Struthio camelus: one gene and its partners. The protein of the gene in region 1 interacts with the protein of each later gene in a biochemical or structural test. Links are inferred from orthologs where the notes say so. Each region holds a gene or a part of one and is shown on either strand. Other genes may lie near its edges.

Region 1 (7,324 bases):
GAGAAAACAAAGGGGAAGAGAATGCAAAGGAAATGAAAATTGTAGAGCAAAAGGTGGAAAAACCGAGAGGAGAAATGCTGACCTGAGTTCAGCATGGCCAGGGATTCCCCAGCTCTGCTGCCTGTGATCTTAGGTTAATGTTTGTTTGTGCCTGGTATTTCTTGAGTCTCGTGGCATTTTTATGACATCTCCTAGTTCCAGTGGAAAGTGCTTAAACTATTGACACATCAGACAAGGATCTAACTGTGAATTGGGGAAATTACTGTTCAACATGTGCAACATATCGCTATCTTCAATTCTCTGTAGACTTTAAGGAGTTAAAATCTATCTTTTTGAAGCTATAGGCCACTCTCTGAAGTTGCAGATGAGAATTCAGGCCTTTCAGCAAATCTAAGGGGACTGACCTTGTGAGTAACAATGGTAAAAATTACTTTTCAATTTCTTATCAATTTTTTTCTCTAGCAAGAAAAAGAAAATCATAGTCATCCCTGGTACTAAAATCACAACGTAACTATTTTATTAACTCTTTACACTTTCAAAATTGTTGATTCTCTGGATTGAGTTTTACAATGCTTTTCTACTCAGAGAAGACTTTCCAAAGCTTGACAAGGAAAAAATAGCAATCCAGACTGTTACTTTTTTTACTGTGAGCCAAAAATAGTTTTCCAGTTTGGGGAGAAATTCCAACACTTTTTATTAAAATACTGGAAAAATGAATGACATTAATCTTAGCTGGTGTGCAGACTTCTGAAACTTGCAGGTGCAGCTCTTAGAGGATGTGACTTAAAGGTATTTTGAAAACTGCCCCAGAAACATTAGAGGGGTGCTTCAGAAGATGCCTGAGGATAAGGAGGCCTTTCTCCCTCCCAGCAGTCACTAGTAGGACTTCACTTCAGGACATTAAGCATTGAACTTAACTCCTAAGTACATTTTAGTGTAACTGGAAGTTACATGGCTACAGTGATGGTGGATATGATAGTGGATATATCTGCACTAATAGCCCTAGGCTGGACCATGGAGATGTCACCTGTACCTAAAGGTGCACATTGCTCTTGGGTAAGGAATGTGGGTTGTATTTACACTGCAAAGTGGCGTACAAAGCAGGGCCCTCTGAACTGTTTCTCAAAGCAGACAACACTGATGCTTGCCCTGCTGAGGGATGGGGCAAAGTTAGAGCAGGGCTGGGGCAAAGCTCCGTGACTGTACTGCTCTCCGTGCCCGAGGAGCGTCTCCGAGTAAAGAGGAATTTGCAATGCCATTTCTAGCAACCGGAATAAGATTGCTCGATCATGATCTGACTACTGTAATGTTGGCTGGGCAGCAAGAGGAAAGCAGAACGCTTTGGAAAAAGAACAGCTTCACTGCGAGCCCATGACTGGGGATGGCCATAAGGGGAAGGACTCCTTGGGGTTAGTATCTAAACATTTCCAGCTCCTGAACACCTCCTCCGTGAGCAGGTAGAGACCGGCATGGCAAGGTGGGAGAGCGAGTTCTCTTGCCACAGACTGCAGCCTCAAGCTGGCGCTGGGGGTGACAGAGGGATGAGTTGGGGAAGAATTGTTGTCTGTTTTTCCGAATGAATGAATGCTGTCTGGCAGCTGAATGAACAGGTCTCTGGCAACCCAAGGGGAGCAAAAGGCCACAGAAAAGAGGGGAAAGATCAAGAAACCAAACAATGAATCAAAGTAGCTGAAAAGACCCAGAAAGCCCAGAAAAAACATTTTTATGAGTGTGTGATATATCTTCTCTGTCATGTGAGAGGATTTTATGAGATAGCAGAGGAAGGGGAGAAAAGCAGAACAGGATTTCTGCAGGGAGAAACCTAATGTGGAAGAGGAGAGAGAAAATAATTTGAAACACACCCTATGCTAAATGCACTAGAAGAGAAATCTTTGATTGTTGTAGAAAGGCTGGCAGCCAAGTCAGCAGGAGAACAGACAACTATTGCCGAGAGGCAGCAGTTCCCAGGCTCCCCAACAGGACTCTGCAACTGGTGCCAGCACTATTGGAGAGCCTCCTCTCCAGTCTGAACATGGTGAACAGCAGTTACCTGGGAGGAGGAAGGAGCAGGTGCTCTAGGAAGGAGTCAGCATGATGTTATTGTTGCCAGCTCTACATCAGAAACGGTGTGGGGTTTCCAAACCTTCCCAGTTCAAAAGCAGCAAGCAAATTAGTACTATAGGTAACTCTGCTGGCTACAAAGACTGGTTCGCAGAAGTGCTTCTTAACAAAGGCATAGCGTCTGACCTCAGGGGAAGCTTTGGAGCTGAGTCCCAAGCACAGATCTGCTTCTTGCAGCTTGGAGTTGAGTATTTTACTTCTCTGTAATGTCTGCCATTTAAGCCTTCCATCCCTCTCTGCCAAGAAACGCACAGAAGGTGTGAGAATGACAAGAAGAACGGTGAAAAATAGAACTCTACCACAGCACCAGAAGGTGAGCAGAGGAAGACAGGTAATAACAGAAAATCTTAGTACAATCCACTAGAAAAGTCAATTGCACAAGACATAAATCTATAGGAGACCAGGCTTTGCTACGACTGCTTGTGAAGGAGCAAAAACTCATGCCTTCGTGCAAGTCTTATGAGTTCCAGCAGTGATTAAAAATGCTCTTGGTATTTTCCTTGCAAGAAATTCAGCTGCTGGAAGCAGGCAGACAGCACAAGGCACCAGCCATCCCAAGTCTAACATGGAGGGGCAACTGCCCAGTCCTAATTCATAAATGAAAGATGGCAACGGGAAGAAAAGCAGAGTCAACAGAAAATACTTCAATTGGAATTTAAAATGCCTTAATAGTGTAAGATGTCCCCGGGCTCACCGGTTGTAAGAGAACTGCTTTAGTTGCAGGTTTGTTTGTGTGAGAACAGTTGTTAGGCTGAACTGCTCTACAGACTTGACTTGTTAAAATTCTAAAACAAAATCCTTGTCTATAAGCTGTGTCCTACTGACCGTTCCCAGCCTAGTTCACTCAGTTTCTGATTATTCAAACCCAAAGGGAAGTTGCCCTTTTGTTTTTGAGCTTGCTGTTTATGGTTATTATCCATTCATGCTTTGATTGTATAGCTACACAAACAGGAAGTGGTTACATGGCTCAAAGGTTTGCTGAAGCGTCACAAAACCCCGTTCACGGCTACTGACTGGGAGCAATCAGAAGCATTATTTGATGACTTTTTGATAAAAAGCTGCATGAAATGCACAGGGCTGCTCAGCCATCTGAAAACTAACATACTTTTGCCCTTAGCGATGTTCTCTGCAGAGAAGTTAACATCTGAATGGAAACGTTTTCGCTTCCTCCACTGGAAGCGGGACTGCATGGGCAAGGTCATTGCTCGAGTATTCCTCTCCCTACATGATCCTGCTGGCCTGGTGAGCACTTTGGTGTCTTTTTAAGCACTGCGCTTGCTGGTACTCCTTGAGTTCTTCACACAACATCGCTGTCTTGGCATGCTTGGTAAGCCTGACACTTGACGTACTTTCTCGCTGCTATAAATAAAGTCTGCTTGATTGTTCAAGCCTTTATTTTGCAGAGACATACTGTGATTTAAAGTGTTCTCCTCCCCAGCTTAAGAAGGAATTACCGTGCATCACTCTCATGCCGCTAAACACCCTAAAGGGACGCTTAACGTGACACCCTAGCGCTATTGCAGCAGGTACGAGGTGTTGCCAGCATCATTTTCAGTGTCATTTCACACGACGCTGGAAGGCCTATGCTGCAGGGCCCTGCCTGTCTCAGGGGCCCCTCCCCACTTCCCGGTGACCAACACCACCGGGCCTGGGCCTCCTCCGGGAAGGGGCCACGGGCCCACCCCTAGGGCCGCCTCAGCCCGCTGACGTCCGGGGCCCGCTCCCGGCCGCCACGGGCTCCCCGGGGCCGGGAGCGCGGCTGGGCGGTGGCTCCCCACGGGCGGCCGAGCTGCCGCGCTCCGCCCGCGCCGGGCGCCGCCGCCTCGGACCGGGCCGGGCCCAGGCGCTGCCCCGCCGCCTCACGGCCAAGGCCGCTCCACCGCGGCGGCGCGGCCGGAACTTCTTCCCCTCCCGCCTTCTCGCGAGAAGCCGCCGTCACGCACGTCGCCAACCAACCCCCTCCGCGCGGCCGCAGCCTCCCCGCTCCCGTATCCTTCCGCTCTCCCCCTCCCCCTTCTGGAGAGTTCTGTACGCGCGGCGCAGGGCAAATAGTCCCCGCCGCCTCCTCCCCTCTCTCGCCCTTCCCCCCCTGCGCGCCTCGCCCGGGCTCGGCCCCGCCGCCGCGGCCCCTTGCGCGCCGCCAGCCTCGCGTTAGCCGGCGGGCACGGGGAATAGAGGGGGGCAGGCGGACCGCGGCGGAGTGATACGCGGCGGGGGGGAGGCCGGCTCGGAGGCGGCAGCGCATAAAGGGCCCGCGGAGGGATGCGGTAGGAGCTGCGGCGCCGAGCGAGAGTCCAGCGGCCGCCGCCGGGGGAGCAGCGCGTGAGGCCCGCCCGCCTGGAGGCCCCCCCCACCCCCTACCTCTGCCGCCGCCTTCTGGCCCCCCCCTTCCCCTCCCTCCCCCCCCTTTTTTTTCTCCTTCCCCTCCCCCTCCCCCTCTCGCACTGTCGCCACCTCCGCACTCCTCCTCCCCTCCCCCTCGGAAAATAGTCCCCGCGGGCTGCCCCCTCCCCGCCCGCGCGCCCCTCCTCGCCGCCTCGCGCACACAATGGCGCTGAAGAGAATCCACAAGGTAAGGGCAGGGCCGCGCGCCGCCCCGGCCCCCGCCCGCCGCCGCGCCGCGCTCGCCTCCCGCCGCCCCGCCGCGCCCGGGCCCTCCCGCTGCCGCCGCCGCGCTCCGAGCGGCTGCCGGCCCGGCCTAGCGCTCGCCTTACATAACCCGGCCTGCCCCGGCGGGCCCGGCCTCCCCGCCGGCCCCGCTGCCCCCCCGCCCCGTGGGCAGCGGCTAGGCCGCTTGCCCTGGGCCGGCCCGGCGCGGCCTGTGCGGCTCGGGAGGATGGACCGGCCGGGCCGGGCCCCTCAGCTCGGCTGGGGGAAGCCATGGGCTGGGCCTTGCCCGCTCGGCGAGGCAGGGAGCTCCCCTGGGACGCAGCCCGCACCTCTAGCTCTCTTCTCCGGCCTCATGCCTTAGGCCCTACGTGGGGCCCGGGGACCGGGACCGTCCTGCCTGGGCAGGGCAGTGTCTGCTCGGGGTCAGTTACTGCGGGAGTTCTTGAAGGGTGTTTTAACCTCTTCTTTTTTTCTTTATGTTTTTTCTTTTTTTTTTTTTTTTTAAACACTGAAGTAAACATTTGCGGGTTTTTTTCGATTTTATTAGGGGACTTGCATGTTCATTTTTTTGTTATTAGCATGATCATCGCTTGCCTAAAGATTGAGGAAAGGGAACATCATGCCTTTTCCAGAAATGAAGAAAGGTGGTAGCAGCCAAGCTGAAAAAGGTTAAACAAGAGAAACTTGGTGGCAAGTCTGAAGCAGACCAGGTTTCTTGTTGCTTCTTTGACTCTGATCTCTATACTGTTAGCAGGCCCGGTTGTGTTGGTGCTACTGTGACTGCCAAAGATACAGAATGCTTTTGGAGCCTAGAATAAAATGACGCTTCTTTTTCTTCAGAGTAGAAGGTCTGTTAAATTCTTACCACGATTCCATTTCCTTCAGACAAGCGCTCTGAAGCAGTCGATTCTTGACTCTGGGGCTGATCTTTTTCTAGGAGTTGATGTCTTCGAGGGTGGAGGGGGGAACTAGGAAGTGTGAATTTTGTTTTATTTGTTTTTTGTTTTATTTTGTTTTATGAGGATAGTGGATTTCTCTTTGGGGTTATCTCCTGTCTCTTTTCCTTCTCCCTCTCCTTGTTCCTCAGAAGCGAGGTGCCCGCTGTGGCCGAGGCCGTGCCCCAGGCAGCTGGTGGAGCCGCGCTGCCGTGAGCTGCATCGCCGCCAGGGGGCTTGGCTGCGCGGCGGTGCCCAGGCCAGGGGCTGTGCTGGAGGCCCCTGCCCACCTGCCTGCCGCAGCTGCGGAAGGGTATGGCGGGGGGCAGCGTCTCCTGGGAAATGGCATCCTGCAGCTTCAGTCTAGCAACTGCTGCATCTAATGAAATGTTGCTTAACACACATGCATTCTCAAATTACCCAGTTTCAGAAATGGGGTATGTTTAGCGCTTAATAGCATCAAGATACCATGTACTGATGTGGTATTTTGTTAAGCGGTTTTTGCCATTTTTTAGAAGAGGATACGTGGCGTAGAGCAGTGCTGTTTTCACTGAAAGTTTTGACATAGCTTGCTTCTAAGCTTTCTGTTTAAGTTTTTAATCCTTCCTTGAGGAAGAAGGAGCTCGTGGGTACTGGATAGTGAAATGTGAGGCATAGTAAGTCTGTCACATTTGAGCTACTCAAAATAGTGTGGTGTATTGTAGAATAGCATTGACTCAGATTATTTGTTTGATGAAGCTATCTAGTATGCTTGTAGGGAAATGTGTGTGAGACATGCTTCCTTCTGGAGCAGGAGGCATGCCATGGTCCATATGCTAGCTTTCTAGAAAAATCATTGCTTCTGAGTCTCCCCTCTGATATTGAGACTATAGCTTACTTGATCATCACAGCATATTTCAGACGCAAAAAAAAGGCCATCTCCCCCAGAGAGGACTATTCAAGCGTGTTTTTATTGCCTTGGTGATTCAGGCAGGGAATTGGTATCCTCTCGCGTAAAGGTGTAGCTTTCAGCCTAGAATCTGCATGCAAACTTCAGATCTAGAAGCCAGTCCTCCCTTAGGATTTCTAGTCTGAATTATCTATGTGGGTCTAATATATTTGAGAAATAAACGTGAATCTGATGGCAGATGTTCAAAGTCTCTTGCTAGTTCTGTTTTCTTCTGTATATAATACAAGATTTAGACAACATATTAATGTCTTTGCTATGGTAGTAGGTTATCTTTAAGTATTTGTGAAACTTAATCATGATCAAATTAAAGCAAAGGAAAGAAGAAGGAAGAAAATTGAAGAGAGCTTGAAGGCTTTCCTATCCTCATGGAATAGGTAGAGCATAAAAGGGACGAGTGTAGACTATAATTATGTTAGTATATTTAAATTTCCTCACAAAAGTGTGCAGTAATGGGTTATATACATATGTATTTTTTTTTTTTACTTAACTAGTCATCAAGAAGCACAGGTAAGGGAGAAGTGGATTCATCCAAAAAATTTGGCAGAAAATGATCACAAATCTCAGATGTGGTTGAGTTAGACTTGCTTTTAAGGAAGTTACATTCTAGTTTAGTATCAGTATCTAGTTTAGTGGCAGTTCAGTCTGCATCGTTCTGTCACTTATTTCAGTGACACTTATTGCAATGTGAAGACTGTTCTGAATTACTGCA
Region 2 (7,426 bases), on another chromosome or scaffold:
TATAAAAAGGAGATAATTGGAGAGGAGTGGAAAAACATAGCTTTTCTAGTATATGCCAACATCTTTTACCCTCTCTGGAAAGGGGGCCTACAAAACATTTACAAACAACCTCTAAAAAAATCTCTAATTCAGCTGCCGCTCATATGGCCTCTGCATTAACATAGGCAAGGCCTTCCAGCTGAGGAAAGGCCTTCGCGTAGAAGACAGAGATATACTGTACTGAGGGAAGTTTCCAGCCAAAAAAGAAAAAGGTCAAAGGACTGATACCACACAAACGGTCAAATGTGCTTTCAAAATGAAGGAACCCAGAACAGTGGTCTTGAATAGTATCTACAAAATTCCCATGTAATAGAAAACTTTAACACATCCACAAAAATAAACAACAAAATAATACTGGCAAAATAAGTATCTCAATTCCTCTATCTACAGAAACCACATTTGGCCTTCAGGGTAGGAAGAGAAAGAAAGCAGGCAAGGTGCAACTTGTTGGAGGCAGCATATGGCAAAAGAAGAGTTGCTTACCATCATGGGCAAGGGAGAGTTAATTGACATCGCCACAGCAATCTGCTACTTAGGACCAGCAAGCACTGACCTCTTTGAGGAATTCTGCTGTTTAAATACCAAGGCTGAGCAACCTTTACAGTATCAGATCTTGGTTCTACGTCGAAAGAAAATTTCTCAGGTTACATACTGACAAGCCTGTAGCCATCACACTGATTTCTGATACGGGTATATTACAGCACAACTGCCACACACGTTTGAAAGCACACCAGGGTCTTAAGTCATGACTTAAGAAACATAGCTGACTTAAAAGCACTCCTGACACAACATACAACACAAAGAATATGAATATTCATCTCTGAACCAGTCATAAGGTTTGAACAGAAAACATGCTGCCTACCTGCATTGGATACTCTGAAACAATACAGGTTTACCTCCCAGTCACGTTTTTCTAACCTGCTTTGGCTGCAATGCTGCTTGGACAACTATACTGCAGTGCCTATCGTAGTCCTAGGAGAGACGTCTGGGAGATTTCTGGTAGGGAACTAGTTCAGTAGTGACAGTGGTTGGCAAACACTGCTAAGGGTTAGAAAAATTGACTCTGAGGTATCAGGAGCCAGGCTACAGTCTTTCACTCAGTTTCACTCCAGCTGCCACTACCCTGGCTGCCTCAAAGAACCATCACGACCATCTGCTGAAACGGCAGGAAGGAAAAGCTCTCCCAGCTGTTTAAAATCCTGAGGAAGGAGGACTCAGGAAACTGTGACAATGCTGTCAGCCAACAAGACAAAGGAGACAGAGTAATGCCCCAACCTAGCCCATAACACCACCGAGACAGGACAGAGGAGAGGGGGTGAGAATAAAACAAAACAGTCAAAGGTAAACAGTTTGCTCTAGATTAAAGATGCAAAATAGGAATCTCCGGCAAGCAAGGCAGAAGGCTTGACTGATATTCTCATCAATCAAAGTCATGAGCTGGGAGAGGGAGGAGCATTTTCGGCTTTCTTACATCCGTGTCAGCAGACACTTGGTTTAGGTTGAACAGGTTCTCAACCTGCGGAAAAGCCTTATCTACTTTTCTTGACACGTGGACAAACCAGCTGAAGTACTTCTATATGCATGTGAAGTGTTTTGCAAGCAATCTGGGAGGTTAAACCAGTTTTTCAGAACTGCCAAGCTCTCCAGCATAACAGAAGAGATTGGCCTTCCAAGATGTGCATAAATTGCAATTAAAACAGCTCTACTCTGCCATCTAAATGAGCAATTTCCCAAGAATCATTATGGCACTTCAGCAAAAATCCTGTTTGAAAGGCCTCTTATTTATACTGCCAGTTTCACTGAGGAAAAACTCCAAAAAACTTCATGGTCTCTTTTTCAAGTTTTATGTATCTTGGAATAAATGTCTTTTTTTTTTTTTTTTTTTTTTAACTGAACCAATTTCAAAGTCATCTTCATCCAAAAATACTGAAATTGTTAAAATAATCCAAAGTTCCATATATTAAGCTAAGAAACACGTGTTGATCATTTCGAGTTCTATTTAAGTCTAGTTCTATTACTATTTATTTACTAGTATTTCTGCTAACAAAAAAAGAAGCTAGTTTCTTGATTAGCTCAGTATGTAAGGGAGGGTAGGATGTGGAAAAGCAAAGGGATCTTTATTGACCAATACGACAGAGACAGGAATCGGCCTGGACAGGTACAGGTTCAGGATCAAGGAACGTGCATAACTTGCTACAGCTTACACATAGTCATACGTCCATACGACTTGAGTAAATAATTCTTACAGACAGACCATATCACAATACATTTTTCTTTTCTTAAGTTATCCATTTTTATGTCTACGTTTCCAGGAGATTTGTCCAAAGGTCATCTTTGTCAATGGTTCAGTTTTGTGAGGAAAGTGCCAATTATTTTCAAAGGTGACAATAAAGTTAGCCACTCAAAATTTGATTGCTTCAACTCTCAAATATGGAAAGGAAAACAAAATCACCGTTTGGTTCTACTATTTTTCTTTGTAAGAAGTCTGCAAGGTAATCGATCGAGATTTTTACTAACAGTGAACAGACTTCGCCTAGACATACTTGTCCTCATTCCCTCCAAAAGCAAGAACTGTGGATTCCTACGTTATTTTATTTTCTAAATCAACAGGACCTCAACTTCCACTAGATCTGAGCGTGTGCAAAAGTTGATGATACAGTCCTTTGGAGCACATATAGACTACTGGTTTGTACGATGTTTGACTGAAGATTCAGTGAAGACTCCCCTCTTCCCCAGGAGAAACCATAGTCTTCTAATTCTCACTCTGCATTTTGTGAATTCCTTCACTAGCTCACAAATAGTTTAATCTCACGCAATCTTTTAAAATTAAATTGAAATATTATCACTTCAAATCGAATTTGAACACCATATTTTAAGTGAATATTAGAAGATTTTTAGTCCTGGAATCTTTTCAGACCTGATATAGACTTCTGTACAAATGCTGCATTTCAACTAAATATTCTCAGGCTATTAACAATTTTATCCAACCTGTGATTGAATAAAGGGTAGGATCAACAAGTTCAAATCACTGTTTACAGACCAGTAAATTACAGACAACAGAAAATTCAGTACCTATCACTCTGCAGCAACTCACATATTTCAAGTATATCAGTCCACATGCAGATGACTGGACTCCTAGCAAAGGGCTGGTCTGTTAGTTACTTCGAAGGTTAAGGAGTCAAGATAGCATTTGAGACTGGGACCACTGGCTAGGTTAGCGTTCATCTTATGCTTCTCCCAGCGATGTGACTACTTTATTGCCAAAGAGCACCAGAGGATCACACGTAAAACAGCTAAAGCACGCGAGCACAGGGAAAGTAGCGACACACGGCAACAGATCTTCCATCCACCCCCAATACAACTTATTTCCCCCCCCCCCCTCATAATGAGCCTCTTGCTTGGCCTTTCTTCACCAAGAGTCACACACATCTACTTCCTCATGAATTCCAACAGTAGGAGGATTCTCATTTCTTTCCCAATATCTGAAAAAGGAATCCTGGGAGCCCAAAGGCAGGACAAGTGGCCAATGCTTCTGGAAGGTGCAAGGACTGGCAGGGATGTGAAGGGAAGTGAAACAGAGTTACTTACTCTCAAGTTACTTATTCCATTTACGTGCATAAAGCAGGAGAGTAGCCATGGCATTGCATTATATACTGTTCCCCTAAGCCTCAGTCTTCTGTACATTCTGGGCCACCTGCTCACCTTCAACACTCAGTGAATCTTCCTGGCTTGTCCACTTTTGACTTTCACAGAAAAAGCTAAACTACCATTCCCCAGCAACTTACTCACCATCACAGTTTTATCCAGCTCCGACCTTTCACAGACTAAATATCTAGAAGAGTAAGTATATAGCTCTTTTCAACTGTCAGTCATATTCCAGAGTTGCACACAATGGGTATTTACTTGCCAATACTGTTAATGGAAAGACAACATCAACAAAAGGGAAAAAAAAAAAGAAAAAAAACCACAAATCCAGTGGCTCCAAACAGCTCACCGATGAATCAGCTGCTACAGAAAATGCCAGCTCCAAGGATATGGCACAGTCACCGCTCCAAACGTGGAGCAGCGCTTGCAAACCCCGGTCCCCCGTCCAGTAAGTTTGGACTGCTCTGCGAAGAACAGCGCAACCTGAACGCGCTCATGGACCAAAGCCCCAAGGTGAAGATGAAGTAAAGGTAACGGCAAGAGGAGGGGGGAGGGAAAGGGGGGGGGTGTAACCTTGACTTCACAGGTGAACGCCGCCCCTCGGGGCTCAAGGGGAAAAAGAAAAAAAAATAAAAAGAAGAAGACGAAACAGACGGGAAGAAAGAAAGTTTCCGGGTAAAAAAGGCTGCGGGGGGCGGGCGGGGCCCGGGCACCCCGCGGCGCCGCCGGTAGAGGCGCGGAGCCGAGGCAGCCGGGGCCGGGGGAGGGGGGCCGCTGCCCGCCGCGGGGCGCCGGCTCCTTTGTTCGGGGTGGGGGGCAGCGCCGCGGCCGGAGGCGAGGTGGGGTAGGGCGGCCGCGGCAGGGCTCGGGCCCACCGGCGGGCGGGGCGGCGGCCTTGGCGACGGCGATGGCGGCGCCCTTCTCCCCACCCCCCCCCCAACCCCAACCCGCTCCAATCTCCGCGGCGGCGGCCGGGGCGGGTGCACGGAGCCGTGTCCCCGGCGGGCGGCGCCGCTCCGGGCGCGGCGAGGCGGCCGCGGCACTCACCCAGGTGAGGAGGCTCTCGCCGAGCTCGGCCCGCTCCAGGCTCTCCACGTTGAACATGGCGGCGCGGCGGCGGCCGCGCGGGGCTAACGGCCGCGGCCCGCTCGCGTCGCGTCCTGTGGCGGCGCCCCCCTTTCCCCCCTCTCCCCCCCCCCCCCGCGTCCCGGGCCTGGGCTGTGGCGTCGACACGTCACCGCGACCTCCCAGGAACCGCCCGCGCGCCCCCAGCGCGCATGCGCCCCTGACGCGCCGCGCCGCTGTCGGCCGAGCCCGGCCGCGGAGTGGAGGGAGGGGTGGGGGGGGGGCCGCGGGGCGGGGCAGCGGCGGCGGCGGCGAGCGTCGCGCGCGCCGGGAGCTGAGGTACCGCCGCGCGGGCCGCGCCCCTCCCCCACGCCGCTGAGGGGAGGCGGCGGCGGCGGCGCCCCGACCCGGCCCGGCGGGGAGCCTTCTCCCTTCTCCTCTTCTCCCCTTCCCTCCTCTCGCCGTGCCGCCCTAGCCGGCGAGGGTGCGGAGGGGCGGGGCGGGGGGGCCCGTGTTGCCTGGCTGGCCGGTTGGCGGGCGGCGCGGGGGAGCCGTTAACGGGCGCGGGGGAGCCGTTAACGGGCGCGTGGGCGCTCGCGCATTGCGCAGGCTGGGCGAGCGCGGCCGGTGCCGAACTGTGGTGCTGGCGGTTACACAACACCGCGGGTGCGCAAGGCTGGCGCCGCGGTTAGCTTTTTTTTTGTTTTATTTTTTTTTCCCCTCCCCCTTTTCCCCTTCTTCCCCCAGCCCAGTAGCACTTGCGTGCCGACAAAAAGCAGGTTCCCCCGGGGGAGGGGGGTGGTCCTCTGGAGAGGCCCTGCCGCAGGCTGACTGCTCTTGCCTCGTTTCTCTCCCCCCCCCCCCCCGGTCCTGCAGCCCCGACGCGCACGTAGGAGCCGGCCTGGTGGGTCTCTGGTGGGTAGCGGGTAGGGCCCCGGCCTCTGCCGCTCTCTGACTTCAGCAGTGTGGACTGGTGAGGTTGCTGCACCCCAGGAAAGGCACTTGCTAGTAAGTAGTGCAGTCTGACACGTGGCAAGAGCAGCCTTTAAAAGGAGATTTCCTTTTTTTTTTTTTTTCCCCCTCTTCTCTCTGCTGTAGAAAATGACGTTAGCTCCCTCTCAGCAAAATGTTGCTATCATAAAAGTTAATCTATTAAATCAGATTAGTTGTGGATAACTCAATTCACGTTTAACCTTAATAGGAGATTATTTCTTGGCTAGTGTGGCTCTGCCTCCCTACTTCCTTGGCTAGAGGAGCTCTACATCAGACTGTAAAGGGGTTGCCTGAAGGGTTCAGCAAACTCGTTTTCAGTAATCAGCTGAATTTTGCCCCAGCTGAAGCTTCTAATGAGAATATCAGATGTAATATTAAGTTATACAGATCCCGGCTCATTAGTCACTGAGCTGGCATGTGGCATCATGGAGTAGCAAGCATGGTACGCTAGTAACGCGGACGAGAGTTGCATAAACAACCGAGAAAGAAAGTGTTGCGCATCTAAATACTGTCATTTTGTTCCTATTTTCTCACAGTTCTTGCATTAAATGAGCAAATAGCATGGACAAAATCTTGATATTACTTTATGTCAGCCTGTTTCAATTGAAAGTGTGTTACAAGAGCTGTGAAAACTCTCCCGCTTATTCAGAAAAGTATCTTCTCCCTGATGTCATAGCATAACCAGCTATTTTCATTTTCAAGTTTTGAATTCAGCCTCTTACCTTTTAAGAGCAGCTGTCAAATTGAGGAAGAAGGTTTAAAAGCCTTAGAAAACAAATGCAGTAATGTGTTTTGTTTTGTGTTCTGCTTTAGATATGAGATTGTATAAGGAAAAAAATGCATTGTGCAATAAACAATTGTTAAGCACTTTTCTTACAACAGGTTTAGCGTAAATAAGCCTTTTGAGTCTTAGGTGAAGTATCATCACTCATCAGTAAATCATTTTCTAATGAAGTGATTTTGTTTCCTTTTTCTCCTTGTCTGCTCAGAAAAGCAATTTATTCAAGCTGAAGGCATTGGCAGGCTCTTTCTTATGTCCCGATCTGCACAGGAATTTAATTTCACCCTTTATGTTACTAAGAATTCCATTCCTTTCTCTGTTTTATTCTTATGAAACAGTGGAAGACTTTGTTAGGAACTGTTTTATACAGGTCATGCATTGTCAATACAGGTCTTCCAAATAGTAATGCTGTGCAGACCATTGTATTTGTCTTTTTGCTTCAAGCCATCAACATAGTTTCAGGCTCATAATGGAAAGCTTCTTTATTTGTTTCTACTAGAGTGGTATTTTAACTTGATGGTATTTTCCCTTACAGAACAAATGAGTATCTGAGCGAAAAGAAACTTCAATCCTTTTGAAATAGAGAATGAATTTGCCTGTGCTGTATTTCTAACTTGCAAAGCATCATTCCTCCAATAAGGATAGAGTACCTACTTTCCCCCCCCCCCCCCCCAGGAAAACATGTCCCTCAGAGGCTGTTGACCTCAGACCTTGCAGAGACCTGCTTCACCAGGCAAGTGCCTTGGTTGGTCAATTCTTAAGGTATATGGAAAAAAAGTATTATTTCTTTACTAAAAACATTCAGTTTCCCCTGTTCTGGCTTGGCAGGAAAGCTACCAAGATTGTTAGCGCTTTTTTCTTTCCTCTCTCTTTCTCAGAGAGCATATAGGTATGTAAATATAT
Region 3 (7,286 bases), on another chromosome or scaffold:
TTGAAATTTCTTCTGTTGTTGCTTTTTTGCATAGTTATCTATAGGAAACACAATAAGTATGTTCCGCAAATTAAAGATACTTTTTTCTTTAACGAAATGCTACATAATGCAACATTCTATACATGTAGGTATTGTAAGTGTTGCTAAAAGCTCCACCTTGCTGAAGTTTTAGATGGTAGTTCAGAAACACTTTACAAAACCATATATTAGCGGAGTCACTGAACAAATCAGCCCTGCCCTCCTTCTCGAATTCTCTATCTGGTAGTTCACTTGGTTTGAGATTCTGTATGACAATAACTACACACAGGAAAAACCAACCAAACAGCCAACATCCCTCTCAATGGCTGAGGCTGAACAATTTATACTAGGATTTCCACTGCGAGAGGTAGTCTATCCTCCCTTTATGTTGGCTGCTTGTTGCCATCACCACACAGCACCCTTCCCTAACGTTTTTCCAATTGCATGTTGAACACAATTAGGGAACTTGATCTCTCTGGAAGAAAAGCAACTGACAAAAAGAGTTGTTTTTCAACCAGAGCAGTTCCCCCATCCCATCTGCCATACCGACACACAAACTCTTACCCTTGCACCGTGTGAGATGACATGAGAGTGTGAGTGAGCGGCTAAGAGCACATGGAGGACTAAACTACAGCTTTTGGCAGAAGCATTGGAGTAAAGCATTTGAACTACAGCCTCAACTGATTTTTTTCCTTTGTAGTTCACTATAATCTAATACTATATACTCGTAGTTTGTTAAAATGATGCAGTTTCAGTAGTCTACCTCTTTAGTAACAGTTAACTTCCCCGGCGAGCTTTGCTGGGTTTTGGGGGTTTTTCTGGTTTTGTTTTTTAAACAAAAATGGCTGTCTGCAAATAGAACACCATGTGGAAAAAGATGCAGCTGTCTGGAGAATAGCGTGAATGCCCAGAACTGGGCTGCTTGGGAGAAGGAAAGACTATGAGAAAGTCAAATGAAAAACTGAAAAGTAACTTTGAAATAGTGCATTTCTTACCTATACCTAATGAGGCCTCAGTACTGCAGCATCCTCAGCACACAAATCTGACGGCTACAGAACCTTATTTCCTCTGCCATTGCCTTGTACTCATGCCTTTCTTCCTATTCCACTCCTCACTCGTTTGTAATGCACGGTACAAGCCGAAGAGACCTTTGTGTGCCTATGTTCCTTTCCTCTCATGATGCCCCTTTTATTAACAAACTACACTTTCCTAGTTGGAAACTACTGCCGTTAAGATAGTAAAGATGAAAGAATCAAGCTCATGGCTATCTTTTCACCTCAGTACATAAGTATTTCCAGGAACTCCTCTCCTGTTTAACTCACCTGAAAAACTAGGGGCTTAAACTTTGAGTCATATTATTTAAACTTACATTTACATATATATATATGTGTACATAAATTGTCTGTTAAGTGTCAAAACCCTCCAAAAATAACAATAAAATTACCTGTAATAGTATGTGTAGAGTTGAGTGGAGCTGTACTCATCATATTAATACCAAAAAGCAAGATATAGCCGATTGCTAGAGTAACTAGTAGATACGCAGGCAATGCAACTGCCCAGTACCTGAGAAATAAGATTTTAAAATTTACTTATCATAATAACAAAATGTCTGGTGACATAACATTTTTAATGTACTGGCTGTTATTGTATACAGCACAAACTTAGCTGGGACGAAAAGAAACACCACCACTAAATATGGACCCTGGTTCCTCCCAGGAAGACTACTAACTATGGAGTCACTGTAGCCAGCCTGTTATAAACAGTCACACAAACTCCTTATAGATGGCTTTTGTTTTTTATATACAATTTAAAATTTATTGTATTTCCATCGGCAAACTTGGTTAAGACAGAATTCCTAACTTATCACAAAACACTGAAATAAATACTACTTCTTTCATTACACAACAAAATATTTTTTATCGTAATTACTTATCGGTATAAAGTAATGCTTCACAAAAACGATAGCCCTTTATCATCAGGAAAAATGTATCAAATGCAAGGCCACCATTTAAAAGATACATGTATAGTTTCGCTATTTGCTATTTGAAATTAATTCAGGGTGTTATAAATGTACGTCTATTCAGGCTTAAGAGTTTAATTGTTTGAACTTACTTTTGAGGCCAGTATGTTAGTCCCAAAGAGAATAGCCAAGTCTCAGGAACGTATGCCCAGATAAGATACAGAACTGCACAAAGAATTAAAAAATCAAAACAGTGCAACCGATACTGTTTTAGACTTCTTCCTTAAGTTTTAGAGCAATACTTCCATACTGATACATACTGTGATAGTGTTTCACTTTCACACAATCTATACCCAGGTAGCTCTAGCATGACATTGCAGAATATATCGCTCATACACAAAACTTGCCGAATATGGGGACAATGTTTTGTACCTCATTATATGCTACCATTTTTGTGTTTAACATTTAGTTTTTGATTTCCTGTGTAGGCAAGACAAGAATTTCATGCAGTCTTGGAACTACAAAACAAAAAGATTCTGCAAAAGCACGCCAAATGACTCTCTGCATACAGACAATATTAAATTACAAAGTGATTATACAGTGGGTCATACGACTAAAAGAGGTGGTAGAACGGCAGGGCTTGGATGGAAGAACTGAATTCAGAAAAAAATAATTACTGAAAATATTTTCAGTCTCTTGGTAAGTTTAACAGTGATCTTCATGTTAACATAACCAACATTGAAAATCTTTCTCCCTAACAACAAATTCAGAGTAAGGTTTAACAAGAACTGAGATGAAGAGTTTAGTAGCCAAACAGTGACACAAAATCTGGAACTGCAGAGGCTTGCTCTGTAGAACTAACACTGGGAAAAACGGAAGCCAACTTAGTTGCATTGCCACTTACCTCCAAGAAACACTGAAGACTTACATAAGAATCCTACTTTTTTGTTCAACTACAATCTATTTGCAATACCTTTTCATTTGTTGAAAAGGTGTTCTCATTTAATTCACCCTTTCTAGGCTATCTTAGTCCTGTGTGGGCATGTAAAACATCCCCAGAGAAATGCTACAGCATCTGTCACATCAGCAGAGAAAGCTGGTAGGGCTGGTCATTTTCCTTTGCTGTTAACCAGACGCGCCTTAACCTTTAATATCCAGGGTTTGGGCACTTGGGGGGCTGGGGTGGGGACGCTGCGGTTACACAATAGCAACTGTATGTGTAATTCAAGTAAAAAAGTTACTAAAATTAGAATGCCGAGAATTTTTTAAATAGGCACTTAATCCCATAGTAGTATTAAAGACAGACAAAACATGAAAGGATCACAAAAGGTAATGCTAGATTCTCAAAACATCTCACAGATCTGGCAAGAAATTGTAATCGTCACCCTTTTGAGATGGTCCAACTGGAATTACATTTCTCTCCTAAGCAGAACAATACTTTCCAGTGAATTATTCAGTACACAATATACTTACTAAAGCCAAACCAAGATCCTAAAAAAAGGGCAAAGCCGTATATTGCTCTTTCTGGCAATGGGGCTGGAGAGTTTTCAACCATGCTGGTCTCTTCCCTTTAACTTCGGGGGGGAAAACAAAAAGAGAAGTATTACAGGTTTGCTTGGTAAGTCTCGCTACGAATTACACGCAAGTGCGGGGATCCGGGGGGGGGGGGGAAACACGACAACACAAATCACTTATTTACCTCCCATGCAGACGTGACGCACCCCACACCAACCGGCGCCGGTGGCCACCTCCCCCCTCCCCGCACGCGCCTGCCGGTGGCGGGAGAGCTGCGCATGCGCTCAGCCCGCAAGGCCCCGCGCGCCGCTCAACGGTCGGCCGGGAGCCGCGGCGCTGCCGACCCCCATCTCCCACAGCCCTTCCTTCCTTCCTTCCTTCTTTCTTTCCCCTGCTACCTGCCTCGGCCGGCTAGGCCATTCCGCCCCCTTCCCTTCGCGTTCCTCAGGAAGGAAACCACACCCAGGGCGCCCTTAAGGACAGCAGGAAAAGAGGCGCCGACCCGCCTGACTTGCCCCTCCCCTTGGTCGCCCGGCGCCGTGTATCTGGCGCATGCGTAATCGGAAAAAGCGCGCTTCAGCACCGCCTCTCCCGCTGCCAGCTCCCGCGGCAAGCAGACGCATGCGCAAAAGCTGCGAGTTCGCGGCGGCCGGAGACCTCTAGCCCAGCGTTGGCTCTCTCCCTTGACGTCAGAAGGCAGCCTGCCAATAGCGGGGCCAGGGCGGGTGAGGGGGGGGGGCTGGCACGTGCGGGGGGAGGGGCCAGCGTTGGGCCCAGCGGCGCCGCGGGTGGCGGTTGGTCTCGCGCTGGCCGTGGCGGGGTCCGGTGAGTGGCGGGCGTTGAGGCCGGGGCGGGCGCTCCCCTCCCCCTCTGCGCGCGGTGCCAAGCTCGTGCCCCTCCCTTGCCCCCGGCCTCCGCCTTGGGGCCGGGAGGGTGACGCCCGGCCCGGCCCGCCTGGGGCGGGCTCCAGCGCAGCCAGTGCGGGGGGACGGGAGCGGGCAGGGCGGTGTGGCCTCGGCTCCGTGGGGCTGCGACACGTCGCTGGTGAGAAGCGCGGCTGCTGCTGGGGCCGGGAGGTGGCGGCGAGGCGGCCGGGCTCCGCGCAGCGGCCCGCGGGTTGCGGTGGGGGGCGAGCTGGCAGGAGGGGGAGCGTGGCTCTGGGCGACGGGAGGCCTCCGCGGTTCTGTCACGCGGGGTGTTTAGAGCCGCTGTCTTTGGATGTGGCAAATGGGGCTTAGTTGCTGTTGCACCCTTCCCCGGCTGGTAGACACTGCCCTTCCCTTTCCTGCCTGTTAGGCGTGAGGCAATAGGAGTGCTGTCAGGGACCAGGCGCTTGCAAAACTGTTGGAGTTGTTAGTCAGTTTAAGTAGTTTTTAACTTGAACAATTATCTAACGCTTTAGGATGCTTTTCTTAAGTTTAACTATGTCACGTAAAAATACGAGTGCATGTTTTCTGTGAAGCTATCACAAATCGTAATGTCATGTTGTGATCATTTTATTTCCTGTAAAGTAAGTGCATTCCTTTCCTCTCTCCCCCACCCGCGTGTGGTTCTCATAATCTTTTTTTTTTCAGTATTATGCACCATGGCTGAGCCTATATCCGAATCTGAATCTGCGGCCATGGCTTTTTATGCTGGTGATAAATCTTGCTGTGAACTGGTAAGTAGGTTTGGAACTAGATGAAAGGCTTGCAAGATGATCCAATGGGTTTTATACCTAGGTATCATCTATAGACTGATTATTGATCTGGATGAACTTTAACTAATGCAAAGATATGCTATACCACTGTAAATTATTCTCTTGCAAAATGCTACATCTGGGTAGAGCACAGAGACTGCATATCCTCTATCACACAAGTTTTACTGAAAAGGTATACAATAAATAAGTAAAACTAGACAGGAATAGATAGATCTTGTTAACACAGTTTTACTAATCTGCTGGCCATGCGTCCAGGCTATGTCAGATGGTATACCTCACAGTAGTGAAATCCATGCTGTGGAGTGAATGAGACGTTCGCAGTGATCCTTCAAGCTGAACCGATTTTGAAATAATTTTTTCCTTCTTTGTTAGTGAGTGGCCAGTTTTGTTAAATATGTTGATAATTTATTTTTGAGAACAAGCCTCAGTTTGCATGTAAAGTTGCAGCAGTTTAGAAATACTACTTTTGATGAGGTCACATGATTGCTTATCACCACTTCAGGTCAAGTTGTCATTGCACAGTATATCGGTATTTCCCTGAGGTCTGCCACTGCAAGAATGAAAGTCTTTAAAGGAAACACTTTCTTGCAGACGTTTGTTTTCATACTTCTTTTTCTAGTCGTATCCAGAAATAACTTTTAGTTTCTTTGAAATTATAATACAGCTGTACATACAGACAAAATACTTACTATTTATTAACAGACATGTACATTATTTTTATTAAAACAGTAGACTTTGTAGGGCTCTGTAAAATGGAACAAAGCCGTGTAATTACTCTTCAGCTCTAGCGGCTGGCATGGAGCACTTCTTTTAAAACTCATTAAAGTTCCATTGGTACAGTGTACTGCTGTGAAATAAATAAGTGAATCAACCTGTGAAGTAAATAAATGAATCAACCACTTTTATTTACTCTACGTACTTTGATATATGTTTATTCACATATATATGCACATACTATTAAAAAATTAATTAATATTTTGAAAACCTGTTATCTTAAAAATGTCTTCTGTAGGTATTCTTGGATATTATGTCACTGTCCATTAGCCAGGTTTGAGTGATCTATTTTTTACAAGAATGCTATGGTAGTATAATTTAATATATTGTTTAAGCTATTAATAATTGTGAGTGGCTGTGAACATTTTTAATTTATGGGTATCTTTTTCAGTTAATGGGCATATAGGTAAACATTTTTCTCATATGAGTGCAAATAAACCATTATGCTACTTAGAAACAGTTAAGTAGTTGCTGCTTGCAGTTGATGTAATGCATTTGTGGGATATGTAATGTTAATAATTAATATGCTTATCATTAGGGTCATGGAGTATTTGTACAGCGTTCTTCACGTAAACTTAGAACAGGTATGTAAATTAAACTAATCTTGCATAACTTTCTCCTATGTACTTCCTGTGCTGTATCTTTGGATTGCTATTTCACTTTTTTCCTTATTTTGTCTCCATATATGTATAAAATTATTTGGTCTCTTCTGAGTGGAAGTATTGCTAAATTTTGAGTTGGAGTAATTCTCATCTTTTTATTGTAATGTAATATGCAGGAGAATACCATAGGTTTGTGAGAACAGTGTGAATACTTGGTTACACTTCCATACACGGTGTCAGTTAATGTTAAGAGAACAGAGATTTTAAACTTTGTTGATTACCTGTGCTCTAATCATAGCTATGTTTTAGCTATGTAGGTCTGAGTACATGCTCAAGATGATCTTTGTAGGTAGAGTGTTGTAATTATAGATAATCTCCTTTCTCCCCCTCTCCCCCCCCCTCTCTCTCTGTTTTGTTTTTTGGGCTTTTTTGGATAGTTGCAGAAAAGTAGATAGCTACACAATACGCCAAGTTCTTCAAAATTATTCCATATACAAAATGAAAACCTACAATACCTAGTCTGTAGGAAACTCAGGTGAATGCAGCTGCCTATGTAAAAGCAGGTTTCGTATATACACAAAACTCTCAGATGCTACTGCTTCTCTTCTGTGGCTACTTGATACCATCTCAATAGTCAAATGAGGATTTTTGCCCGTAAAATACAGTCTCCAAGGGAAATGGGTCATATTTTTGAAAGAGCCACATATCATAAAGAACG
Region 4 (7,105 bases), on another chromosome or scaffold:
CACCAAGATGCCGAAGAACAGATTATTTATAGGATTACTGCTACATGCCCAGATCATCTAACTCCAGACCTCAAAGGTAACAGAGCACAGAGCTGCTTCTGGAACTCAGGTGGCAAAGAGCAGCATTCCAACATTGGCAGTAAGCTTTCTTTATATTAGTTGTCATAGCACTTAATACAGATAGCATGCGTGAGACACTAACACTCCTGTGCTCTTCCACGGGCTAAAGGCTCACATCTTAACCTCTTTGTCAGCTTCTTCCAAAAGAGAAAGTGTTAAGAATGGATATCTATAGAAAAGCCCAAAATTGTAAAAGGACTTTAAAAATCATCTTCGGCTTGCATTAATACCGATGAACCTGCCAAATCAGAAGAATTATACTCAAAGAAAACCAAACTGCTAGAATTTATTAAAGTTATGGAAGGAATCTTATGATCCGGCAACTTCTTTTCTCGTAAGAACAAACAAACCTCTTCTGTGGGGCTACATATTTCCAAATACGCTCTTAGCTTACTAGGGAAATTCCACTGCAAAGATCACTTCTCTGAATTGCAAGAATGGATAGGAAAAATAAAGCAAAACTTGCCTTCTTTAAAACACTGCAGATCAAATTAGCAGTGTTTAAGAACAGAGATAAACAAAGCAGTTTCAAATTTCTCACATTTAGAGATCTACCTATCAAAAAAATTCCTCGAGGGTTCTCAAAACCCCAGGACCACCCAATTTAACAGTATTTTGTATACAGTCCTGAATAGTCCAAGTTCAGTAATAACGTCTATATGGTCCTCCTCCAGCAGTCACTATGAAACTCAGCATCAAGATTCTCAGAATCAGATACCAGGAACGGAGTTATTGCACCTCCTACCCCCCAAAAGCATCAAATAACTCCAGCTGAAGCTGTTAGTAGCTCATCTATTATACTTGTAGCAAGATGCATTCAGATACCAATCCAGAAATTCTAAGATTAAGATTTTTAAATTTAAAATAAAAAACAATGATTTTTAAATGCAAAACCTTAACAGATCAACTTGATAAGCCACTAAATATTACTAACTTTTATAGGATTTTTATTGTATCACTGGGGGATGATATATAACCAGGAGAAGCCACTCCCCTTCCTCTCATACAGAGCTCTCCACAGACAGTTATTGTTCCTATCACTTAACCCTCCCAAGGGCCTAATGACTGTTATGTCCTTATAACAGCAAAGTTCAAGGTTTATTCTAGCTAACCTACCGGGATTTTAAGTGCTATATCCACCATTCTCTCTCTCAACAGGTAACTACTTGAGAAAAGTACAGGTAAACTCACCTAAATTAAGAATGTCTCCATTAGCAGTGAAAGAATATTGATTCCCCTATGCCTGATTTAAGTCGTTAATCCCTCCCCCCAAGCTAATATTTTCACCAAATTCAATTTGAATTTACCATGTTAGAATTTAGCTTTTAACTCACTAAAAATACATTTAAAACTTTTCCTACACCACTCTGAAAACAAAGTCTTGGGCTCCCACAGGCTCACTATGGTTTGAAGCAAATCAGCCCAAACAAGAAGTAGGCATTTTTACCGTGTCTGACTAATATAGACCAAACTTGACCTCATGAACATCCTAAGCATTAGAAATATTCTAAAGAAAACATTTGAATAAAGCAACAGTTTCAGAGTAAACGTTTGGTCTGTACAAGGCAAAGGTGTCAAAAACAAAATACACCACGTTAGCCAAGAAAATACAACATGCTATGCCTTTAAGACTTTGCTTCTCATTTGCACTTTTAAGATGTCTCACTGCACTTTTAATACAGGAAAGACAGTATCAAAGGGCTAAGCATCTAGAAGCGTTTTTTTGTGATCAGAAGAAGCACATGCCTATGGCAAAGCGTTAGCATTGTTGTCATATGGCAGGAAAAATAATCTGCCATTTTACTCTTCCAAAAGTTCCATATCACGTGCATCTTCTCTACCATTAGAGATGAGGAAAAAAAAAAAAAAGGTTCTTCACCAACTTTAGTAAAAACAGAAACAGAGTGTATTATGTTTTATCCAAATTAGGTCAAGCAGTCCCATACTACAAAACCTCACTGACAGGCACTATAAAAAGACTAGAGATGAGAGAGGCACAACCTACTACTTACGACCCGCTCTAAGCGGCCAGCTACATCTACAGACAAATAGGACACACGCTTACGGGCGGCCTAACAAAAACAAACGAAAACCACCCACAGCACAGAACACAGCCGAAGCCTCCAGCTGGCCAGATGCTCTATGTCAGGAACGCTGCAAACGGCCAGGGCCGGCCAGAAGCGCTCCTCGCTCCTCTTACGCGCGGCTGTTTATCCCAGAGAGCGGACATGGCTCACAGCCCAAAGCCCCGGAGGAGGGCAGAGAAAGGGGAACGGAGCAGAGCCCGGCGTGGAGACGTAGGGGTAGAGGGAACAAGACCTCGAGGAGAAACATCACCTCCGCTTCTGCGGTAACCCAACGGGGGGGTGGCCTAACCCCCCCCCCCCGCACCCTACCTGCTCCCCTGAGCCGCCCCCCCCTCCAACTCGCCGGTCGCTCCGGGACACCGGCCAGGCCCCAGGCCCGTCCCCGAGCCGGGCTCGCCCCCCGGCTGTCACCAGCGGCAGCGGGCGGCCGCCACGGCCCGTCCCCGGGGCCGCAGCCCCTCAGAGTGACGGAGCGAAGCTGGGGGGTGTGTGTGTGGGGGGGGGAACCCCCAAACCCAACGAGATACCGGGGGGAGAAGGGGAGGGCGACAGGGACGCCACGAGCGGAGGGACGACAGGCCGCGGGGAGCGCGGGGGCGGCAGGCGGCGGCGCCGGGCCCAGGCCGCCTCCCTCCCCCCACCAACCCCGGCCCCGTAGGCGCTGGCGCGGCCCCGCACGGGGGAAGCGGCCCCTGCTGCCCCCGCTGCCCTCGGCGCCGGCCCGGCCCGCTCCTCCCCCACGGCGGCCGGGAGCGGGCCCGGTGCCCCCCACCCCCACCGCCTCCATCCCTCACCTGCGGCCCCCTCAGCGCGGCGGGGAAGGCCCGGGGGCGCCGTTGCCGCTGCCCGGCCGCGGCTCCCACCCCCCCCACAGCGGAGCCCCCCGGCCTGCAACACTCACCCTCGGCGCCCGGCCCGGCAACTGCGTAGGGCAGCGCCCGCCTCCTGCCCTCCTACCATTGGCGAAACCGTAAGCTGCAGCTCTCGGACTGGGTGTGGGGCACGTCAGTCAAGGAAGCCCTGGCGGCGGGCGGCCCCGCCCCCTCATCCGGCCCCGGGGTGTTCTGGGAGTTGTAGTTTCGGGGGCGGCGCGGCCCCTCGCGGTGGGGCTGCCCGGGCCCGCGGCCCCCGAGGGTCTCCAGGGCTTCTGCCCAGGCGCGGCGGCTGCTCCTCGGAAACCTTCCCCAGCCGCTGGGGTCTGTGCGGCTCTGAAGGGAAGGGGCCGAGGCAGGTGTTTGTCCGTCTGCCGGGACGTTCAGGGCAGGTCGTGCCGTGTTGGGCGGGTGTAGCAAGGCAGTACGAGTCGGGGGTTTGGGTGTTTTTCCCCCCACAAAATGGCAGTCACCCAGCTGTGCTTCTGAACGGACCGACAGAAGCGCATCAGAAGCATGAACTTGGGAGCGAGCCACCTGTTGCCTTAGATGCGCTTAGTGCGCACCTCACTCTGCGTTAACTCGTTATAAACGCTTATGATGGTATCTCTGTGCCTCTGCCTCCCTATCGAAAGTTATTTTTCCAAGCACGAGGACCGCTTGGCCTTTCGTCGATTTAAATAGCCCCCTGCCTGGCTGCGTGTTGGCGGCGTTGTGCGTTGGCACTTCTTGCCCTCTCCTCGCCGCCGGCTGAACGCTCCTCGACGAGGTGTTTGCAATTCCGGCGCAGCAGCCCGTACGCGTCTTTGGTTTCATTTAAATAACTACACCATCTCTCCCTGTGCTGTCTGCGACCGATCCGATTACCCAGCCGGACGGGCGCTGAAGCTGGACCCCAGGCCGCCAGCAGGCTGCCGGCTGGATTGGCGTACGGAGCCGAGTCCCAGGTGGCAGTGACGGCGTTACCTGCTGCTGGAGCTTGCACAGCATGCTAACATCCCGTGGTCTTCCTCAGTAAACCTGGGCCTAGTTATACTGCAGCTCCACGTGAAAGGACGTAGTATCTGGTCGTTCACACTGTATTAAGATGCCTCACGTTCATCTGCGTGACTCTGGAAAGTGCAGCTCCTGACATTAGAGGGGTTTCTTTCTGATTCTGTTACTAACACAGGTGAAACCTCTGATACCCAGGTGAAACCTCTGATTTTGTAAATGTGTTTTGGTAGCTTATTTAAGACTCAGCCTTCTTCACTTGCCCTCATCATCTTGGAGACAAATGCAGTAACAAATCCATAAATGAGTGACTCATAGGGATCGTTCATGTAGCTGTGTTTCTGCAAAGTGTGATGAGCGTACGTGCGCTGCCAGCTCTCACTTACCTGTGTGTGGATTAACTAGGTTGTGGATTATCTGTGCCACAGACTAGCTGAGGCAGCACAGAGTGAATGCAGCTGCATTGCTTCAAAGCTAAGTTGGCTCCAACAGCAGTACAGCTACTTTTGTAACAGAAAGCTAACAAGTCGTGTGGGACCTTTACCGGCTGTGTGTTGGATCACCTTAGGTTTCCGTGCACCATGTCATGAGGAATGTAGTATCTTTGATTTTATTCTGTGTATTCTGTTGCAAGACCTCCCATCGCTGTAAAATCAATAACCTATATAAAAAAAGTAATAAATTGATATTTTTCCCAAAAGATTCATTCTTTTACATTCCTTGAAACATTGCTTATAAAATGACTTCACGCATTAGGTCCTAAAGTAGCAAGAATGAGGCTATTTCTGAATTCCACAGCTGAACTACTAAGATTGCTCTATTTCTCAGTCCTTTCATTTTGAGAGCTGGGGAGAACATGGAGAAGGAAATAGTTACGACTCAGCTTGATTGCAGTTCATTCCGAATTTTGAAGACTGGGTCCAACACCCCAGAGGAAGAAGCATGCAGTATGATAAATTTTTGAAATTTGAAAACCTTTCGTAGATATGCCTGTCTATTTGCCTAAAGATTAATCTTTCTTTTCTTAATTCTCAAAATGCATGGTATAACAAAAAGTTTCAGAGGTACTAGTCAGCTGTGAAAAATCCCAGACCGTGACTGTTAGTCCTATTATTTGCTAGCTTCTGGAAAACCGAGGCATTCAAGTCCAGACTTCGCTCTGTCATTGTGGAATACAACACAACGTGGTGCTGGACAAACACAAAGGAAAATAAACTCTGTGGAACCAAATGCTTGTCATTTTAAGCTATTCCAACCCTCTACTAGACACAGAGTCATAGTTCCGACTTCTCCGCAGTTCTACATCTATCACTCCTTCTTCCCACTCTCCTAGGATCCTTAACTCTTCCTACTGAGCTACTGCATGAATCTCATTGCTTTCCTGAACTGCTGTAGCATTCAGAATGAACAAAAAATACAGCACATTTTGTCAGCATTGCAGATTGTGGAAGCAATCTTCACAGCTAGATGGCAACAAAAGAATTCCATTAGATTTCCTTCAGCAAAAAGTGAGAAATACAATGTTGTGAGAGCATTAAAAGCAGCTGCCTGACTCTAATGTCAGCGACAGTCTCATTCAATTTAAATATTTGCAATAGCCATAATTAAACACTTAGTAACTGGCACAAATTTAAAATAGAAATACATTACATAGTCTTACTGCTGTGCAGATTTTAATCCAGATTTATATCCTCCTTGGCTTTATGCCTAGAATAAATCTTGTGATTTGAAGGCCTTTTTACACAGTATAGAAATTGTCACAGAGGGCAAATTATCTTCTAGGTGAGTAACAGATTTTTGCCTTTTTCTGGAAGCAGTTCCTTAGAGAGATCAAAGAATGTTATGTTCTCCTTCCACCATTCAAAGACAAAAAAGATTCACCTCTGCAAATATAGGAACAGTATGTCTAGGTCAGTTAGTCTACTCTCTGGCTGCTGTATGCCATCAGTTCTCCCCTCACCCTCTAAAACCAGCATTGAAACTGGTGGTCCTGCTATGCACTGCTACTGCCAGGTAAGATGATGTATTGGGAACTTGGGCTGACCGTGCCTTCTGAAAAAATACATATGTAAACAAACATTGTACTTTTTTTTCTCCTAATTTTTATTCTTTAGGAAGATGAATGTAGCAAATCATGGTATAATATATAATGATAATAGAAATACAGACAGCATTCTTATCCAGATATTTGTCATTCTGCCACAGGAGCCTCAGTTGCAAGGGCTCAGTTTCTTACAGCTTTTGATTCTAACTGGAAAAATAGGTCATTACTGATTAAAAATAAAAATTCCATGACAAAAAAATAACAAATTTTGACTCAAATGTGCCTGTATGACCAGAGTTGTGCTATTCAAACTGTAAAGATGAAATAAAGGTTAAAATTCAACCTTGTAGTATATGGGCACACTGGGAGAAGTTTTCCAGCAAGTCTGATTTTTTTCCAAATGAATTTTATTTTACTTCAGATCGCAGTATACAAACTGTGGCTCCATTTTTTGCTGCCTCATATGCAGCCATTTTCTGAGCTGTTTCTCTGGCCATGAAGCCATGCTGAAGGATCTTGAACTGTCTTTCCCGACTCTCTTCCAGTTCTTTCCAGTGGTTCTGTTGCAAAGAACTCTGCAGAAAAAAAACAGGGATTATCACATCGCAGAGAATATAACGGTTCTATTTAGATGATGCACTGAACTTTTGTATGATAATCTGGCTGGCTGGTGACACATTCTACTTGCTAACACAACTGGGAAGCATGTCAACTTCAAATTAGGCATGATGAATATAAACATAACTTGATTGGGTTGCCCAGTTTAAGATGAATTAAACACAACTGCAACACCTCACAAAATGTTAGGTCAAGGCAAAACTACATCAGGACTGTCACGCCCCAGTGCCCCACCTTATGTTCTCCCATCGCCAATAGATTGTTCTTGAAGTTATAAATGAACAGTTGCTCAGATCCTCTCTATCAGACGCTACTGGTTTGCGGATTCAAAAACTAGGTTCACAAAGCAGGACTGCCAAGAAAGCTCAGAA

What was found.
Region 2: the proteins of UBE2D2 (region 1) and RNF170 form a complex in vitro, tested with the Homo sapiens proteins (2 studies listed by BioGRID). The link is inferred for Struthio camelus from reciprocal best matches to the Homo sapiens genes UBE2D2 and RNF170.
Region 3: the proteins of UBE2D2 (region 1) and TTC3 form a complex in vitro, tested with the Homo sapiens proteins (2 studies listed by BioGRID). The link is inferred for Struthio camelus from reciprocal best matches to the Homo sapiens genes UBE2D2 and TTC3.
Region 4: the proteins of UBE2D2 (region 1) and RNF4 form a complex in vitro, tested with the Homo sapiens proteins (8 studies listed by BioGRID, with this or other methods). The link is inferred for Struthio camelus from reciprocal best matches to the Homo sapiens genes UBE2D2 and RNF4.

Annotation. Positions count from the first base shown.
Region 1 is NC_090954.1:22,808,776-22,816,099, forward strand, and holds the start of UBE2D2 (ubiquitin-conjugating enzyme E2 D2), read left to right. Parts: upstream 1-4,168; 5' UTR 4,169-4,669; coding exon 4,670-4,693; intron 4,694-7,324.
Region 2 is NC_090982.1:12,000,600-12,008,025, reverse strand, and holds the start of RNF170 (E3 ubiquitin-protein ligase RNF170), read left to right. Parts: upstream 1-4,229; 5' UTR 4,230-4,359; intron 4,360-4,731; coding exon of another isoform or gene 4,732-4,788; exon of another isoform or gene 4,789-4,879; intron 4,880-4,971; exon of another isoform or gene 4,972-5,021; intron 5,022-5,024; exon of another isoform or gene 5,025-5,088; intron 5,089-5,625; 5' UTR 5,626-5,757; intron 5,758-7,238; exon of another isoform or gene 7,239-7,285; intron 7,286-7,426. Other genes in the region: HOOK3 (protein Hook homolog 3), read right to left, coding at 4,732-4,788. UniProt on the Homo sapiens protein: E3 ubiquitin-protein ligase that plays an essential role in stimulus-induced inositol 1,4,5-trisphosphate receptor type 1 (ITPR1) ubiquitination and degradation via the endoplasmic reticulum-associated degradation (ERAD) pathway.
Region 3 is NC_090942.1:122,277,042-122,284,327, forward strand, and holds the start of TTC3 (E3 ubiquitin-protein ligase TTC3), read left to right. Parts: upstream 1-4,197; 5' UTR 4,198-4,218; intron 4,219-4,233; exon of another isoform or gene 4,234-4,318; intron 4,319-4,392; exon of another isoform or gene 4,393-4,537; intron 4,538-4,545; exon of another isoform or gene 4,546-4,615; intron 4,616-5,067; 5' UTR 5,068-5,078; coding exon 5,079-5,153; intron 5,154-6,504; coding exon 6,505-6,550; intron 6,551-7,286. Other genes in the region: PIGP (phosphatidylinositol N-acetylglucosaminyltransferase subunit P), read right to left, coding at 1-38, 1,463-1,581, 2,131-2,203, 3,452-3,533. UniProt on the Homo sapiens protein: E3 ubiquitin-protein ligase which catalyzes the formation of 'Lys-48'-polyubiquitin chains. Mediates the ubiquitination and subsequent degradation of phosphorylated Akt (AKT1, AKT2 and AKT3) in the nucleus.
Region 4 is NC_090945.1:77,249,346-77,256,450, forward strand, and holds the start of RNF4 (E3 ubiquitin-protein ligase RNF4), read right to left. Parts: upstream 3,194-7,105; 5' UTR 3,109-3,193; intron 3,097-3,108; exon of another isoform or gene 3,002-3,096; intron 2,926-3,001; exon of another isoform or gene 2,916-2,925; intron 1-2,915. Other genes in the region: CFAP99 (cilia- and flagella-associated protein 99), read right to left, coding at 6,524-6,691. UniProt on the Homo sapiens protein: E3 ubiquitin-protein ligase which binds polysumoylated chains covalently attached to proteins and mediates 'Lys-6'-, 'Lys-11'-, 'Lys-48'- and 'Lys-63'-linked polyubiquitination of those substrates and their subsequent targeting to the proteasome for degradation.